3 linked regions of the Canis lupus familiaris genome follow. The protein of the gene in region 2 interacts with the protein of the main gene of each other region in a pairwise test. Links are inferred from orthologs where the notes say so. Each region holds a gene or a part of one and is shown on either strand. Other genes may lie near its edges.

The links.
Region 1: the proteins of MED31 (region 2) and SELENBP1 interact in a two-hybrid assay, tested with the Homo sapiens proteins (2 studies listed by BioGRID and IntAct). The link is inferred for Canis lupus familiaris from reciprocal best matches to the Homo sapiens genes MED31 and SELENBP1.
Region 3: the proteins of MED31 (region 2) and HTT interact in binary tests that used the Homo sapiens proteins (3 or more experiments, as listed by UniProt). The link is inferred for Canis lupus familiaris from reciprocal best matches to the Homo sapiens genes MED31 and HTT.

What each region holds. Positions count from the first base shown.
Region 1 is NC_049238.1:61,075,916-61,079,664, forward strand, and holds the start of SELENBP1 (methanethiol oxidase), read right to left. Parts: upstream 2,411-3,749; 5' UTR 2,381-2,410; coding exon 2,377-2,380; intron 1,698-2,376; coding exon 1,608-1,697; intron 1-1,607. UniProt on the Homo sapiens protein: Catalyzes the oxidation of methanethiol, an organosulfur compound known to be produced in substantial amounts by gut bacteria. Selenium-binding protein which may be involved in the sensing of reactive xenobiotics in the cytoplasm.
Region 2 is NC_049226.1:30,892,420-30,896,168, reverse strand, and holds the start of MED31 (mediator of RNA polymerase II transcription subunit 31), read right to left. Parts: upstream 2,812-3,749; 5' UTR 2,684-2,811; coding exon 2,656-2,683; intron 1,958-2,655; coding exon 1,880-1,957; intron 1,593-1,879; coding exon 1,496-1,592; intron 1-1,495. UniProt on the Homo sapiens protein: Component of the Mediator complex, a coactivator involved in the regulated transcription of nearly all RNA polymerase II-dependent genes.
Region 3 is NC_049224.1:61,700,831-61,704,479, forward strand, and holds part of HTT (huntingtin), read right to left. Parts: intron 1,963-3,649; coding exon 1,851-1,962; intron 1,611-1,850; coding exon 1,473-1,610; intron 631-1,472; coding exon 472-630; intron 387-471; coding exon 289-386; intron 1-288.

The sequences.
Region 1 (3,749 bases), on a different chromosome or scaffold from region 2:
AGCAGCCACAGAACCAACTGGCCCAAAGTCAGCTGCGGAGAAGGAGGGTGAGGGATCAGGACCAGGCATCAGGCCTCAGGGTTGGGATCTGACCTGGAGGAAGGAGCTGTCAGAAATCCCAGAGTGGAGATCACAGGACGGGTGCTGCCTCCCTGCGCTGGCCCACAGCCAGTCTGGCCCTGCCCTGACAGCACAGGGACCCCCAGTGGGGAGGCAGGAGCAGTCGGAGTGGAGCCTTCCCTGGTGCCTGGGCTCAGGCCCTCAGCCAGGAAACAGGTCCCCTCTCAAGGCAGCCAACATGGCCAGGAGGCCAGGAGGAGGCAACAGCGTTTTCATTGGTTTCAAGCTCCAGATCTGGTATCTGCTCTCTTGACTTTCTCCCCTCTTTGGCTAAAAGGGGGTAATAATATCTTACCTTCTTTTCCAGGTGGCTAGGAAAGTCAAATAAGCTGATATATTCAGAAGTACTTTTGTAAAGGAGAAACGCGGTATAAATATGGGTAGATTGTGCCAGAAGCGGGACAAAAATCCCAGGCAGTGGTTGGTGGCCAGAGAGAGAGCTGGGGTGGATGCGGTTGATGAGAAATCCAGCCCAAAGGAATTGAGAAGACTGTGCAGGGGCTTGGCATAGGAGGCAAGGGGGAGAGGAAGGAGTTTGCTGGACACAAAGCAGAAGGAGATTCAAAACCCCAAGACCTCAAGACAGAGACACAAGGCCCACAAAGCTGGACAGAGATGGAGAGGTGAGGGAGGTGTTGCTGGCTGTGGCATCTTCCCCTCTGCACATCACCCCAGCACTTCGTGGAGTCAATCAGGCCCCATGTAACCTCCAGGCCCCAGGAGCATCAGTGTTCTTACTGGGGGCACCCCCCCCATCTCCTGGCTTGTCTTAAGCATCTCAATCAAGATCTCTGAAAATCTTTGGGTTTGAGATGAACCCAGGGGAAGCTCGCTGGGTTTTCCAGTGTCAAGCTGGCTGCTAGGCATTCTGCTAGTCTAGGAAAAACCCAGATCCAGGGGGACAAGGACCTCAATACTCCCAAGCAGACCCAAACTCCTCAGGCCGACATCCAGGAGTCTGAAGATGGGGAATAGAGGGGCTTCTGGGAGAGTGGGAGGCAGTGAATAGGGCCCCAGTGAGAGTGTATGGGCTCCAATTTCCCTTTCAGAGTGCCTGGGGTGGCTAGAGGGTGAGTGATCTGGCCCCAAAGGCTTGGGTTTCCTACTTCCTGGAGTAAAAAGCTGGCCCAGGGCTAGAATCAGGATGGCCTTTCACCTATGGTGACAGCCAGGGACAAAAGGTTCTCCCTATGTATTCCCTGACCCCGACCAGATTTTCCCAGCTGCAGGAAGGTCCCCTGGCTCCAGGCCCCAGCTAGGGAGTCAGGTGGGGGTCCAGGGCCACAAATTCCAGCCGTCCCTCTGCCCTCCTCTCCTTGTAGCGCCGGAAACTTTGGCTGAACTGGGAGATATAGAGGTGGGGTGGGCCCAGTAGAGCAGAGTCCACTACACACCCCACCAGCTTCCCCCACCCAGCTTTTCTGTCACTTCCTGTACTGTGGGCCAGAGGTGGGTGACACTTGGTTGGCAGAAAGCCCCCTCCTTACCCATGCTGCTTCCTGGTATGCTTTGATCCTTACTGGGCTGCCAGGAGTGAGCAGAGACAGAAGCTATGCCGTTGTCCGAGGCAGGCTTTGCTGGGAAGGGGCAAAGGGAAGGAATTTATACAACCAATGGGTGAGTAGGGTGGGGCAGAGGGAGGGCCTGGGTTGCAGCCCAGAATGAACTACCAAGGGCAGCTGGCCAAGACGCTCTCAAATGGCCTGGGAGGCTGGTGTTTGCATTACAAGGTTTGTGTGTGTGTGTATGTGTGTGTGTGTGTGTGTAGGAGCCTGTTCATATGTAGATATGTGCTGTGGCTGTGCACACATCTCTACTGTGGGTGTCTGGGCTTATGTGACTTTGTGGGTCTGGCATGTGCACAGTCTATATACCTGTGTGTTGCCTCCTTGTGTGTGTGTTGTGTGTTTGTGGATGAATATGTGCCAGTGTGGGTATTCCTGTGTGTCTGGACTTGTGCACATCTGTGTGTATTTTTGTGAGCATGTGCCCGCCAGAATGTTTATCCCGTGTGGGCTTGTGCATATGTTCCTGTGTGCATGAGCATGCATGCTTGTGTAAGCATATGTGTGCACATGTCCCTGCTTCTAAACGCTCATCTCTGTACTTGGATTTCTGTACTTGTAAAGGCGCCCAGGGCTGTTGGGCCCATTTGCTCCTATCCATAGCCAGGGTCAGCTTTCTCTTAAAAACACCCTCTTTTCCAGACATCCATGCTCCAAAAGGCACCATCCTACCCACCCTCAAACTGCTCACCCATGTCTTCTGGCCACAGCTGTCCTGACGAGAAGCAAGGTTTAGTATATCCAGGTTTCACTTTCTCCAGACTTGCGTATGCCTCTTGAGCTTTGAAGTGGAAGGAAAGTCAGCAGTGCCCATCATCACTTCCTATTAACCTCATAAATCTCAGGAGATAGAAGTGGAGTCCCGCCCTCCCCCCCATCTCTCTGCTTGGTCTCTCAACAGCTCCCAAGGTGGATAGCAGGGCCCCAGGGAAGCCCAGAATGGTGCCACTGTCCCTAACTGGCCTGTGATGAGTCATAAAACTCTAAGGGTCTCCAACTATGTAAGAAAGGAGTCCTCCAGCTGGAGGGTTCCCTGCTGGCAGGGGCTGCTGAGCCTGAGAGTGGCGTGTCCCAGGGACATGTAATGGCCTCCGGGCAAATGGCAGCTGCTTGCTGAAGGGCCAAGGTTCGGTTGAGGCCTGACCTGCTAGCCCTCTCTGGGGCTGCCCTCATCCAGAGAAGCCTGGGTTTGAAGGGCTATGCAAGGGAACCCGCCCCAGCAGTCCTTCATTTGAAGCCAAGGGCCCCCTCTTCCCTGAAAGCTGGCTGCCTGACAAGCATAAACTTTGCTCTACTCTTCTTGGAACCTGCTGACTCTGTGTCTATAGAAGCCACTTTCATCTCCTTGGATGAAAGCTATGGGGTGAAGTTTTTATTGGATAGTGAAAGGGACCAAGTTTGGTCTTGACACTGCCAGCGGAAAGATCCGCCGACTTTCCAAACTGCAGCAGAAGGAAGGGGAAGAAAACCGGGCTGCCAAACGGTTCCTGTGGGTGAGGAACCCACACAGGAGGATACTCTGTGGCTACCTATGGCAGGGATCTCCTCCTACCCTCTTCTCCCCAGGATCTCTCAACCTCTCCTGGCTTTCTCCTCTTTCTGCACCCTCACCATTGCACCATCAGCTAGTCGTGCTGCAGTCAGCCCTGTGGGTACAGCTGTCCTACAGGGGGTGGCCTCCGAGGGCTGCTTCTTCGCCTTTGCTGAGTTCATGCACTGGCTGCCTCCACTTACCCTGCCTTCAGCCTGCTCCCCCCCACTCTGGCCTCCTCTTCCTCCTGAGGTCCCATCTTAAGCCTCCTCTACTTTCCCGCTTTGGGACTTGAAGTAGCCCAACACCCAAGATCTGAAAGAGAAAGCAAACCCATCCTCACCCTCTTATAAAAAGTCATTGTGTCATTACCTCCAGAGGAACTGGGATTTAAAAAAAAAAGAAAAGAAAAGAAAAGAAAGAAAAGAAAAGAAAAGAAAAGAAAAGAAAAGAAAAGAAAAGAAAAGAAAAGAAAAGAAAAGAAACTGGGATTTTGTTTGTCCTGAATGAGAATTGCAAAGCACTGTTCCATC
Region 2 (3,749 bases):
AGAGATCTATTATATCCCAAAATAAGGAAAAACTTTCCAGCACCCAGCTAATGGTGCAACTGTCCCTAAATGGAGAACAGGTGCTCACTGGACCCATGCAGAGTGTAGACGGCCAGCCCTGAACTAGACCTTGCCTGTGTCTCCAGGTCCAAATGGAGTCTCCAAGTCTACACATGCACACAACAGCTAATGAAAAAGCTTTTCTCCGGATTATTCAATGAATAAGTGGCTGTTCATAAAGGAGCAGTCAGGGTGTACAGGGTCCTGCAGGGAGAAGGATGTGGGTTTTGTGAATCAGTTGACACAAATCAAAAAAGTGACTTGGAAAAAAAATAAAAATACAAAAAATAAAAAGTGACTTGGATAAAGTACAAGTCTGAATCATTTTCCTATCAAACGTGTTTGTTTAAAAGAAAGACAAGAAAAAAAAAAAAAAAAAAAAAAAGAAAGACAAGAAGTTCAACTATTGCTTTCTGACTACCTAGTGAAGACAAAGAAGAGGGATGGGTTCAAGGTTGAAACAAGTGTGATGCTTGGCACAGAGGAGGCACAGCAGCTATAGACACACTGGTTTGGGTTTGTTTTTTGGACTTTTTGTTTAAAAATTAAAGGCGTGTGGCAACCCATCAGCAAGCAAGTCTATGGGTACCATTTTTCCAACTACATTTGCTCACTTTATGTCTGTCATTATTTGATAATTCTCACATTTCAAACTTTTCTTTATCATTGTATTTGTTAGGGTGATCTGTGATCAGACTCCATAAAACCTCAGATGACAGTGTTTTTTAACAATATTTTTAAATTAAGGTATGTACCTCTTTCTTGACTTAATGCTATAGTGTTAACAACCCTTATACGCACTAGAGAACCCAAAAACTTGGGTCACTTTATTGCAATATTCACCACATTGCAGTGGCCTGGAACCACATCAACAGTATCCAAGGAATGCCTATATTAAGAGTCAGGTAAGGTCACCTCCTCCAGAAAACCTTCCAAGTACCTGATGTTCTTTAATCTTCAGCCTCAGGTAATACCACTGCATCTACAGACTGTGGGTTCATTAGGGTCAGAAATTCAGTGAGATGGGGTGAGTGGTAGATAGATAAAGAGAGACCTGAGAAAAGAGAGAGGATTTTGTTTCACATGCAATGGGAAACCACTGGGAGGTTTTAAGCAAGAAAATACCACGTCATAATTTACATTTTTGAAAGATCAAGTTGGCTTCCCTGTGGAAAACTGTTTTGCTTGGTTTGGCTTGCGGGAGGGAGGACACAGAAGGAAGGTAAGAGCACAAGCAGGGAGAAGCAGGGGGGTGGACACCGCAATAATCCAAGCTGGAGAGGGGGTGGCTCTGTATTAAGGTGGAGGCAACTGAAAGAAGTGGAGAGATTCAAAATATACTTTTTTCCAATGGGAAATGAGAAAATCTGTCAAATATCAGTATTTTTAATGTAATAACTATACACATATTTAGGACTATAAAAATTAAACTTACTTTAGATACTTGGCATATTCTGGTTCTTTCCAGTAAAGCAAGTACTTAAGATAATTAACAAAAGCTTTGTCTTTGAAGTAACCTCTTTGGGCAAGAACTGAAAGGCATAAACAAACAAACAAAAAAATCTGTAGAGCAAACCAATCCTCGGACTACTGATTTGTGACCCCTCACATAAAGCATCTACTTATATAACTTCCCCACCACCAACACACACTAAATGCTGAACATAAGTCCCAATTTGTTCTCACACACACCAGTATAAGCGTAGCAGTTAATTCCACTGGATTGAGAACATATAAAAATAGGTATCATTAGGAACTGCAGTTCTTCTGCCAGAGATCACTAACAGCTACTCAAGTCAGTAAGAGCTCAAGGACTTACAGTTAAGATAATTGGGGTTGGCTAGGCACTGCACAAATTCCAGCTCCAACTGAAACCGAAGTCGATTCCCGGCATCATCTAGGAGGGAAGTGAGCAAAAATCATCCAAAGTAAAGGTGACTAAAAAATAAATAAAATAAATAAAAAACAAAATAAAGGTGACTATCTAAAGTGCTGGTTTGTAGAAAGAAAACAGCAGTGGAGTGTTCTGAGTATTGCTGAGAGTATCTCTGAAGGCATAAGGCAGGGATGACTGTCCTAAGCTGGATGTGGGAAGAGAGGGCCGTTTCCTCCCAAGTCTAGAGAGCAGGGCCCTGATTAATGAGACCAGTAACTCCTTAAGGAGAAGTCCGAGGAAGCGGGCGCCCCCTGGGCAGGATGTTCACCCTCTGGCAGCCACTCCCCAGGACCTCCAGGGTGACCAGTGGCGGAGGGCTGCAAGCTAAGCAAGAGGAGGGGGCGAGTGTGCTCCCGCTAGGGCCTGGCGGGGAGGGGGGACTGGTTCGGGGCGGCAGGATTTGGGAGGCCCGGGGGAGGGGGGTGTCAGAGCCCGGAGGCTGGGAGGGCCAGGACCTGGGATGGGTCGGGAGGCCGCGGGGTCGGGGCCCGGGAGGGGTTGAGGCTGAGGGGTGGTCGGCGTCTGCGCGGCAAGCGAGGAGGAGGTAGCCGCGGACAGGAGCCCCGCCGAAGTCACGCCACACAGGAGTCCCGGGGGAAGCTGGAGGAGGAGGCCAGCCGGCTGTAGCTGTGTTTGCCAGGGCTCCGGCCGCTACCTACCTGTCTCCATAGCGACGGCCGCGGCCATCGCCAGCAAAAGCGCCGAGACGTCACCAGCACGACGAGCAGCTTCCCGGAGGTCCCGGAAGCTGCGGCCCCACTTCCTGTCGCGGGGCAGTGTGGGATGCGGGGCGGGGCGGTCCTCTCGGGCCCCGCCCACCGGCCTCGCGCAGACTCGCAAGGGGCGAGGGGCGGAGCTGGGGCGCTCCGAGCGCGGGAGGGGTCCTGTCCCCGCCTCTCTGCTCGCCCAGTGACGTAGCCGCGGGGGTCCCGAGCGCCTCCGGGAGCGCCTACATCCCCTCGGTGGGGTCTCCCGCGGGGGCAGTCCTCAGCCGGGAGAACGCCCAGCGGCCGTTCCAACCCACAGGGACCCCCCCCTTGACCCGAGCGCAGGTGCGGCAGGTGCGGCAGGTGCGGCAGGTGCGGCAGGTGCGGCAGGTGCGGCAGGTGCGGCAGGTGCGGGGTCGGCACTGGGCCAGCCCCCTCCGCCGCGCGTCGGCCGGGTGGCCGCACCGTTGACCCCGGGAGCCCCCTTGCAGCAAGCCAGCACTGGAGGTCCGCAGGCCCGCGACGCTCCGCCAGCCTGATGGGCTGATGGATAGGGAGGCTGTTGTTCCAACCACCCTCACGATCCAGACTTCGGGGACAGGGAGCAAACCCAAACCGTGACCACTGGGAGGATCACACCGCGGCCGGAAACCGAGGGGCAAGAAACAGACCTCCATTAATTAACCAGTTGGCCTTTGTGTTTCAAACCAAGCAGGTATTTTGTTTATGCTAAGCCCTGTGCCCTGTACGGGCACCCCCAGTCACACACATTTCCATACAGGTCAGACTAGATAAAAGTCAACATCTACCATGAGGCGTGATCTCGGAAGGGAACCCGGCCCGGGTCTCGCAGAGGGCGGGGAGGGCAGTACTATTTATGGAGCCTCTCCTCTGTGGGCACTTGGACAAGGTAGGCAGGACCCAGGCTCTCAGGAGCTCACACTGGTGAAGGGGCACACGGCAAATGATGAAAAGACCATTTTCTATCGCAATGAGTAACTGAAGGAAACAGGTAATGGGAGGGGTTCCTCACTCAGAAGTGTCAG
Region 3 (3,649 bases), on a different chromosome or scaffold from region 2:
AATTCAACAGGTTTTATGCTTCATGTTAGCAAGGTGTAAAGCAAGATCCTTTAGGAAAGGAGCATTTCAAACAAATACCCTGAGTATTAAAACTTATGCTACACTCTATTAAATAAACCTTTCTTGGTAATGCTTTCTGCAACAGAGTCGTGGACACATCCAACTGTTTACTGTTGTTCACAGCTTTAGAAGGTCTACGAATATTTAGCATTAAACCCAATTTTAATGGTAACAAAGGTAAAATTTCCACTAATCAAAGAATTGATTTTCACAAAAGATTATACTTACCCTCACAGCTGTACAAGCCAACTTGCAAGTAACAGAAGATTCATCCTTCAAAGTTTTCTGCAGCAAAGGAACACAGTCCGCCAGAGAAAATGTACTTCCTAACCAGAAGAGCAAACAGCGCCTTTATGCAAACTTGAACTACAGAGTTCTACCTAGGAAATACACTGCAAGTTCTGCCATTACCTGTCAGGGTCCTGACGGTGCCCATCCAATCTCCCACCTGGAAGCGGGATCTGCTGAGGATAGAGGAGATGAGGGTTCCGCAGAGAACGGCTGTGGCTCCTCTGACTTGGGGGTCTCCATGGTCGATGTAGTTCAGGATGTCTGACACATACTGCTCCTCTGTAGAGATAAATTGCCCAGCCACTGTACAAGCCCCTACCATCCATTTTCTAACTCAGAAGAAAAGTTTAATTCTCAGGAAAGGAAAAAAAAAAAAAACAAAGGTGAGGGAGGATTCCAAATCTAGAATATAGATTTGGTAAAAAAATATCATGGGGTTTAAAGATTCTAGATTCATCATAGCCTTGACATCACTTCAACACAATAGATGTTCTGGATTATAATTCCAGGCTGCCAGCCAATAATCAAAATTCCAAGATTTCACTTAAAAAAAAAAAAAAAAAGATTAGAGAAACTCAAACTAGTCCACACTTACCTAATATGAATTCAAAAGCACAAGTGTGTCCCCTCGCCCAAAGAAAGGGGGAGAACTCGGGAGGGTAATTTTAGAAGTGGGGTTCCTCCCCCATTTACTCCAACATGAGAGAATGTCCCAGAACGTGTGCTACAGGAGCCTGGATCTGCTGGTGCTCTGCTGGTCTCGGGTCGCACTTGTCTCTGAGTGTGAACATCTGGCCTGGCTGAGTGTGACCCAAAGCAATTTTGATTATACACAATTTGTGCTTTTGGTATAAATCCAGTATGTATGTAAACTGGCTCTTATGTTCCCACATTTCTATTGTTTCATCATGTGTGTTTAAACTAAACATTGCATCTACAGGGAGTCCAAAAAACAAAAAACATTACGATTTATGTGCTTTATATACAGCTACAACACAGTTCAAAAATGCCACAAATTAACTCAAAAAATATTACTCTAAACTAAAATAGCCAAGATGATCTGAAATAGTTTTCAAAGCAATGGTTAAACATGAGGAATAGACTGTGAACTTGTAACATACCAGGGTATTCCATGGTGTCAAGAGGTACTTTATAAAGTTTGCTGAAGAAAGATTCAGGATGAAGGGCCACAGCAGCTCCAACACAGCTGAGTGCCAGTGCCTTCACACTGACCCGCACGTCCCTGTCTGGAACCAAAACTGCAAGGAAGGCAGCAAAGTGACCTTCAAAGTGACAGACATCTAGTTTCCACATAAACAAAACAAGACCCAGGAACCCAGCTCCCTCATCACTCCCTCCTTCTCCCATCAGTGAAAAGGACCACCGCTCACCCCAGACTCTACTCCCTCCCTCTGCTGCGGTGATGAGGCACCAGTCACCAAGTTGACCTTGAGACCTAGGCACTTCCCTCAGCTCTGTACTTGCTCTGCTATACATACCATTTTTCTCCCCAGTCAGCAAAAATGACGCACACAGGAGGCGGACACAATGGACAAGAGGAACAGAATCATCATCGGTAGACTGTCCTATGTCACCTTTGATCCGGCAAGGCTACAACAAAGAAATGGACACTTTCTTATGATCGTTTGTCTTATGATCAAGGAACCACTATAGTCACTCGTTAGTGTGTTCAAAAAATAGGTCCAGAGCAGCAACTATGCCAGGTGCTGGGGACAGAGATACCTATCTCTGTCCCACGAAAGCCTGGCCTTAGACCATGCTGGAACAGATCCAGAGTGGTCAGAGGCAGCTACACTGTAGGGTCACGGAGACTGTGGCGGGGAGAAGTCCAATGCATGTGTGTGTGGGGGGGGCACCAGCACTCAGGAGAGGCTGCTGGGAAAGGACAGCACGAACCACCATCTACACAAGGGGAAGCACTCAGCCACAGGCAAGAGCCCTGGGAATGCCCAAAGCAGAAATGGCACAGACATATCTGTGCCTGAGCAGGACTTGGAAGGAAGTGCAGAGACTGGGCAGCTACAGAGGGACTATGGACAATTTCTCACCCTCGGGGAATTTAGAACTGAGAAGACAAGACACTTATAGGCAGTAAGCAATAGAGAGAGATTTTATAGACAATTCAATGGATAACTCAACAACAACAAAAAATTCCCAAACCTGATTAAAAACCGAGTGAAGGGCTTGAACAAACATTTCTCCAAAGACAACATACAAATGGCCAGTAAACACAGGAAGAGATGTTCCTCCATCACTCATCATTAGGGAATGCAAGTCAAAATCACAATGATCTACAACCTCACTCCCAGTAGGATGGCTACTAAAAAAAAAAAAAAAAAAAAGGCCAGAAAATGACAAGCCTTGGGCGAGGACATGGGGAAAACTGGAACCCAACATGTTGCTGGTGGGATGCAAACCGGTGCAGCTATCAGGGAAAGCAGTGTGCACGGATCTCGAAAAAAACTAAAACTAGAACTACCCTATGACTCTGCAATCCCACTTCTGGGTGTATATCCAAAAGATGCCTACATGCCAGGTTCCTAGCAGCATCACTCATAACAGCCAAAAGACAGAAGCAACCCAAGTGCCTATCAACAGATGAACAGAAAAACAATATGTGGTCCATCCACACAGTGAGGTATTACTCAGTCTTATGGAGGAAGACACTTCTTACAACATGGATGAACACTGAGAACATTGACCAAGTGAAACAAGCCGGTCACAAAAGAACAAAGACTGCCTGGTTCCACTTAGCTGAGCTTCCCCTCGAATAGTCACATATAGACACAACGCAGATGGTGGGAGCCAGGGGCCAGGAGGAGGAAAGATGGGAAGTTTGTGGTTAATGGGGACAGAGCTTCAATCTGGGGAGATGAAGAGCTCTGGAGATGGAGGGTGGTGATAGCTGCACAATGTGAATGCACTTATGCCATGGAGCTGTACACTTCACATGGTTACAATCATAAATTTTATATTTTATGTATTTTAAAACTATAAACAATCAAATGAATAATTCAATGAATAAAAACAAGAAATGCTCCAAGACTATGCACGACCATCAAATGAATGGCCCAAAAAATCAGGGGAGACAGGAATCAGTACAAGACAGATTTGTCTGAGAAGGACTCTCAAGGAGGCAGAACTCCAGGTAGTTCTCAAGGATCTGGGTAGTACCAGGAGGGGCAGAAAAGAAGAGCACACCCAGGAAGGGGTTGATATTTAGGGGGAATAGCGGAGTAGAAGCTCAGAGATGGGAAAGCGAGGAGCACAGCAGACA